2 linked regions of the Tribolium castaneum genome follow. The protein of the gene in region 1 interacts with the protein of each later gene in a pairwise test. Links are inferred from orthologs where the notes say so. Each region holds a gene or a part of one and is shown in the gene's direction. Other genes may lie near its edges.

What was found.
Region 2: the proteins of ari-2 (region 1) and Ubc10 interact in a two-hybrid assay, tested with the Drosophila melanogaster proteins (2 studies listed by BioGRID). The link is inferred for Tribolium castaneum from reciprocal best matches to the Drosophila melanogaster genes ari-2 and Ubc10.

Annotation. Positions count from the first base shown.
Region 1 is NC_087403.1:8,300,982-8,305,298, forward strand, and holds the start of ari-2 (potential E3 ubiquitin-protein ligase ariadne-2), read left to right. Parts: upstream 1-1,515; 5' UTR 1,516-1,666; intron 1,667-1,712; 5' UTR 1,713-1,751; coding exon 1,752-2,009; intron 2,010-2,058; coding exon 2,059-2,307; intron 2,308-4,317.
Region 2 is NC_087401.1:17,188,660-17,191,493, forward strand, and holds Ubc10 (ubiquitin-conjugating enzyme E2 L3), read left to right. Parts: upstream 1-1,492; 5' UTR 1,493-1,607; coding exon 1,608-1,634; intron 1,635-1,683; coding exon 1,684-1,779; intron 1,780-1,823; coding exon 1,824-2,165; 3' UTR 2,166-2,319; downstream 2,320-2,834. Other genes in the region: structure-specific endonuclease subunit slx1, read right to left, coding at 562-891, 941-1,126, 1,178-1,229, 1,274-1,431.

The DNA of each region.
Region 1 (4,317 bases):
ATTGATCAATTAACTTATAACTGGTTTATAAAACCGCTTAATAAAAATATTCTAAAAATTTTTCCGATCAATTGTCGGGATGAAAACTAAAGAGTTGGCGACAATATTGCCAAATCAAATTTTTAGAGTGACAAAACGTTTTAAATTTGTCACAATATAAATAAACTTTAAGTAAATTTTTGACGAATCTGCGAGTATTGATGAGCAAGACGTAGTAAATTTTGAACAAAAAATATTTTTTTCCAAGAAATAGTTCATTGTATTGTACCAATTAATAAATAATATTTTTTTTAGTTTGTAAACTAGCCAAACCTATGGCTATTTTAGCAGAAATGACAATTTACTAAAATAGCGCCTAGTTTATAAATTTTCAAAAGTATTCTCTAGATAATACTAAATTTACAAACTAGTCAAGTTTAGGTACACATTAGCCGTAACATATACATTATTTTTCTATGAGGGCACCCCTATTAACACGACAAAAATCATGCCACCGTCAGTGTCCGCTTATAGGAGATTTCACTATATTTCAGTACTTTCAATTACCCAAAAATATTCAACCCTTTATTAATAAATTAAAAATTGTGCAGTGGTGGTTCTCGAAACAAACAAAGTGATTTAAATATGTGCAAAAATGTGCAGTTCGTCACGCCTATGTTAACACATGTTTTACTGTATTTTTAATTTGTTTTGGTGTTAATTGTTGGACATAAAACCGAGATGAAGTAAACTTACCTTAAATGATAAAATTTCTTGTTTTTATTAGTCCATCCGTTTTTTATCTAAAACATAAAAAGAATGAATAGTTGGAAGCAACGTTATATTGAATAAATTAGAATTAGAACGTTGTTACTAAGGGACAAGGGGCCCCCAGCCCGTACTAGTTGGGGGTTAAGACGTGACATAAGGAGGCAAGGGGTGAAATGTGACATGAGAAGGCAAGTGGTTTCAACTTTATCAATCAAGCCGACCACATGTGCATGTCCCAGTGGCGAAAACAAGCCTTTACAGGGGTATCACAGCGCGATAAGGCGCCGCAAAGCTATCAGTATCACTTACTTTGTTTATATAATGATCCTAAGGATTAATAACCATTAACCAAAATTATATCTTGAAGCCGTCAGTACGAAATTTGATTTTTCGTCTGCGGACATTCGGTCGGCCCACCATAATTTTCTAAAGTTTTTTACCACAATAACGTCCTCAAAACGCGAATATTCACCAAAATGTTCCCAATGTCTTCAGGGAGATTGACGCCATAACACAGACATGACAGTTCGCAGTAGTTCTGGAATCGTAGAAATTTGGAAAATCGAGCCAGGCGCTTACTCGGCGGCTACCATGACTGGTTGGGGGAAATGTCGCCCATTTGTGACGTCACGCGCCATACCACCGGCCCGGTCGGGCGAACCGGGCTTGCACCAACGCCGGTACACTTGCAGTTGCCTTATCTCACTTATCTTGTGTTTTTGTGGTAGTTATAAGACTCAGTGTTGCGATTTTTTGTTTTGTTTAAATATAGTTCGGTAGCTTTGGGTGAGTCCACGCAGAGCCGGGCTCAGCCGGTAGGACAGGACGCTGCATTCACCAGGTGCATGTCAGTGTCAGTGTGCTATAAAATGTGATTGTGTTTGTTTGGAGAAATGGCGGCCGTAATCTGACACAGGTAAACAGGTGATTTGTACAAAACACTCCTTCACCCAAAATTGCAGTAATGACGACTTCTTGATCGCCCGTTAACCAGCGCCAGAATGGAGAACGCAATAAACTTGAGCTCCCAGGCCCCGGAGTCGGACATGGAGTGCTCGGATAATGATAATGACTGTTTTGACGATGATGATTACTACAACATCGTCGACGACAGCGAGATCGAGCAAATTGATCCAAGCAAAACCGACCCGGAGAACTTCAAGTACGACTGCCTGGGCGAGGAACAAGTGGAGCGGCTACTTAACGAAACTGTTGAATGCCTCAGCTACAACCTCAAAATCACTCCTTCCCTAGCCAAAGTAAACCGCAGCCAGCGCGCTAAACTCTTTAACATTGGACTTATTTAAGGTTTTGTTGCTCAGCCACCAGTGGCGCGTCAACAAAATCATTGAAAAGTTCCGCAAGGACGCCTCCGAACTGCTCATCAGTTCGAGGATCAAGCCCCCAGTCACGCCCCCGAGTCTCTCCCTTTCCAGATACATCACGTGTCCAGTGTGTGTCGTTGTCCAACCGGCTGAGAAGTTTTTCAGCCTGTCGTGTTCTCACATGTTTTGTAAGGACTGTTGGGTCACCCATTTTGAAGTACAAATAAATCAGGTAGAGCTGACCGGACCTTTCGTATTTTGTACACAATCACCGATTCCCGACCGTTAGGGTCGGGGAGTAAACCATTCCAGCCTTTGGTCGGGAACCGATATGTGAATGTGGACAAAATACGGACCTAAATACTTGGATGCGACATGACGGAAAAAAAGTCCACATTTTCGTTAGTTTCTCTATCGACGCTAGATGGCGCTCTGTATTAAACCTGTTCAAACATTTTATCGAAAACTACATTTAAATGTTCTTTTTTTATCTATCTATCTATCTATCTTATACTGTAGTCGCAGCGTTTTATATAATATTTTTTTTCTCAACATAAGAATTTGATGCTCGAAGCCCCTTCATTTTTACTTCGTCGTGCTAAATGTTTGGGTACTTAGAAACATTATTTTGTATGTCGTTTCGCCTCCTAGTATTTAGATCTCCGTAATTCAAGACTAAAGGGAGGATTATATGAAAAGTACTTTTTTGTTAATATTTATTTTATTAATTGATGGCTTTAGTTCCAAACTTTTTCAGTATTTGGTCTTCATTTTTCAATAAAAAAAAACATTGATGGCACTTCTGATGCAATTTTTAAAAGTATTTTGTATTTTGCTTTCTCGCTTAATCGTACAAACTCCTTAATTACTAAGTAAAACAAAATGTTTAATTTCGAAAGCATATTAAATATAGAGTAATGTGTTTAAAAAAAAATTTTTTCGTTTTTTTCTTTGTTATACTTTAGATGAAGCTTTTTTAGAATTCTCTATTCATCGGATTATACCTTTATAAAAAAACTTGGCATTTAGTTTTTCATATATATAAGCAGTACAATTTCCAGAAAACTTTTACATATTTTGTGCAAAAACAACACTTTTTTATTTTTGATTTCATCAAATATCTGTACATTATGGTAACCCAACCACGTATTTAAATTTCGAAAAAATTGTTCTTTCAAAGACGAGAGGTTTTTCCCGTTTTCTGAAAAATTAATACACTTGTAGGATGTACAGGGTGATGCATTTTGGATGCCGGAATAGGGTATTTCAGTGCTTGGTTAGAATTTTCGGTAACTAACCGATAATAAGTCTTAGCCAAGTTTTTAATTTTGAATGCGTATTTCAGTGCTTTAATAGAATTTGGGTTAAATTCCCAGCTTTTTGGCATCAGCGCGTGCGTAATTGATGTTTATTATCTTAACCCAATTACGTATTCACATTTCAAAAAAATGTTCCTTAAAAGACGATTGGTTTTTCGTTTTCTTAAAAATTAACCGCTTTAGTAGAAATTGGTTTAAAATAGGAGCTTTTAGGATTGATTTGATATCTTCACCATTTTTTCTAACTATTCCTTAAAGTACAATAAACATCTACAGCATTCATGTTCCAAATGACCGGCAAAAATAAGTCGCAGGAAGTTGCAAAATTGCATGATATTTCGAGAAAACATTAGGATAAAAAAATAAGGACACTGGGCATTAATATGACCTGAAAAACCCTGAAAAAAGTTGGTAGCCAGACAAATTTCTTTCGGTTAAGATTTTAACCTCGGTTAAATCATAACCAAGCACTAAAATACGTCAAACCAGGAATTAAATTGGTAACCAAAATATTTTGGTTTAACCATCGAATGAAATACCGGGCGTAAGAGAGGTTTAGAGAAAAACAAGTGCCACTTTTTGGAACTCATGTTCTGAGAACATAATTTTGGCCAATGCTGCTTCTATATTTTGTTTTTGACTTATAATTCGTTTAAACTATAAGTTTGTAAACCAAAGGTTAAATTTTGATGAAATCTTCAAAATTCGTATTTTCCTTATTATAGAAAATGCACATCATAACAAAACATTATGCAGGCACTTAAAAAAAATAATGTTGACAACGATTTTTTAACCATTCGTTTAGCTGTGATAACAGTTGTATTTTTTGCATTTTAGAAATAAATTCTTCAATTGCTTATTTAATATATGAATTTGTACAATGCTTATTTATTATTTTTTAGTAGAAGTTTTTAAATTGTTTC
Region 2 (2,834 bases), on another chromosome or scaffold:
CGTACACTCCCCGACCGATTTGGTGGAAATAATCTCATTAATCAAAAAGTGAAATAAAATCGTTTTGAACTTTTTCCTCCGTTTGATTATTTGCCGGAAGAAGACGAAAAACGGAAATTTCTCGCCGGTTTTAATGAAAAACTCCCAACTTATTCACATATGGTAGCAGTAAAAATAATTCAGAGGTGATGAAACGCAAACGCGAGCGTTTCCTTCCATTTATAATATGTCTGTCAGTGCTCTGACCCAGCCTGCGACCTCTGTCACCACATTCATCCACAAAATGCATAAATAAATGCCGACAATTTATTAAAATAAAACAATTTTTTGCAAAAATTACAAATTTATTCAACATTTTTCTTTTTGTACAAACAATTAATCATGTCGTCTTGTCAAGTGGGTCTAGGAAAAAAAAACAAAAAAAATCACCAAAATATATATTTGTAATAATAATAATAATAATAAGTTGTAATGAAATGGCCATTAACGGCACGTTTGCCAGTGTTGCCAACTTTGTAATCGTGGTAAAAGTCGGTATAATTTAAATTAGAATTGAGCAATTTATTCACAATCCCCTAAGTTGGTGATTTCCACGTCCTGGTTGTGGTAGCCCTTAAACCTGCGGACTAAATCCCCCCAAAGACAGGGTTGGCAACACTTGGGGCACCGCCCCTCCACCGGCACGTAGTCGCCCCCTTTGAGAAAACACTTGGACAAACAAATAACATGAGCGTTTAAATCGCACTCAAAATTCAAACACTTCATTCCATTAAAAACCTCATCATTACACAAATAACAAAAATTCGTTTCGTGCGATAGTGTGACAACACTTGGGATTTTTTTACTAATAACTGGGCCGTAACAAATTGGCATATGGTCCGGTGGCTTTTTCTACAAAAAAAAAAACGACAAGTTTTTACAAATTTTTGGCAATTTTTACCTCTAGATCGCGTCTGAATTCATCATTGAGCCAGCGAATCGTCAGCGGGAGCCTTTTCCAAGGCCCCACTTGCAACATTTCGCTTAAAACCCTAATCGTAAAATCGTAAACTTTTTCTTTGGTATTTTTTTTCGAAACGTGCGCCAAACGGCGCGAAACGTGCGGGTGTTGCCACGCCCACTCAAACTAGAACAAAAAAACCCTAGATTTGAAACCAAATCAACGTCCGATTTTTACTCTTAGAGCCGAGATATTGTTCGGAAAGCCGTGAATTATCAAAACCATCGACCTGAAAGTGTTATACAGGGCCGGTGTGTGGCGTTTTGTACCTACCAGGGCCCCTTTTGACTGGTCTTCCAGGCGCCACCGTGTTGCTTCCCGCGGTTGTGCTGCTTGATGCGGCGGTTGGGGTCCACCGTGTAGCCGATGTAGACGCGCCCCTTGTACTTGGGGTTGGTGCAATAGAGCAGATAAACCCCGAAAAAGTGCATTTTCGAGGTTAAGTTCCTAGGGAATTTGGCGGTGTGCGTGCACACTTGACTGTCACCCCACCTCACCTGTCAAATTTCAGTGTGTAATGGGTGATTAAAAATTGCTTTTTCCCAACAATTCAAGTGCTTTTTTTGATATTATTACGTTTCCGGTCGTTTTGGACTAAATCCGCGACATGGCGGCCACGCGAAGACTGCAAAAAGTGGGTATTTTCCGGGCGAGATTCCGGGCTCATTCTGTATTTTTGCTAGGAGTTGGGGGACATCCGGAACTCCGGGCTGAAGTCGTTCCGGGACATTCAGGTCGACGAGACGAACATTTTGACATGGCAGGGGCTCATAGTTCCGGTAAGTGTGCGAGGCTTCGCCCCCAGCTCACGGCGCGGTTTTAGGACAACCCCCCGTACAACAAGGGCGCGTTTAAGATAGAGATCAACTTTCCGGCCGAGTACCCCTTCAAGCCCCCCAAAATCACCTTCAAGACGAAAATCTACCACCCGAACATCGACGAAAAGGGGCAAGTGTGCCTCCCGATCATCAGCGCTGAGAACTGGAAGCCGGCCACCAAAACCGATCAAGTGATCCAAGCCCTGGTGGCGCTGGTCAACGAGCCCGAGCCCGAGCACCCCCTCAGGGCCGATCTGGCCGAGGAATACATCAAAGACAAGAAGAAGTTCACCAAAAACGCCGAGGAGTTCACGAAGAAACACAGCGAAAAGAGACCGACGGACTAGTGGGGCGATTACACCAACTGTGATTTTACGAATTTTTTTTCTACCACGCTCGAGGGGGCCCTTTATTTTATTTTTAAGTGAGTGGACTAAATCGTGGGATAGATTATTTAATTCGCTTATGTAACATAATCAATAAAGAAGTACTTTCATCCAACTTGAGCCCCCATTTTTTTTGTGGGGTTACGGCCCCAAAATCACCACAAATCCCCAAAAACACGATCGTTACGTTGCTTTCTGGCCTAATTTGGACGCCAAATCGTACCAAACGCCCACAATTGCTAAATAAAACGCTTGGTTTTTGTGAGGTTAGGTTGCCCAAAGTTGGGCCAAACACACCAAAACTAGTTCTAGTTAAGTACAATCGGCACACATCAATTAATTGCGGCGCCAAAGTCATCTTTTGCCCAATTATAATTCAAATGCCCAGTTTTAAACACTTGAAATGTTTTTTGAGGTTAGGCCACAAAAATGGGTTAATTCAACCAAACGGTGTGCTTATTTTTCCAATGCGGGCCTCTCTACTCATTTGTAATTATTAAAGTGCGATTTTGTTGAGTTGTGACCCAATTATGATAGTTTCAAGGGAATTGCAAAAAGTGAGGTTATGTAACACCGGACGAGGTTTGGGGGAAATAACTGTGTGAATAAAACACGTTTATTTATTCGTAT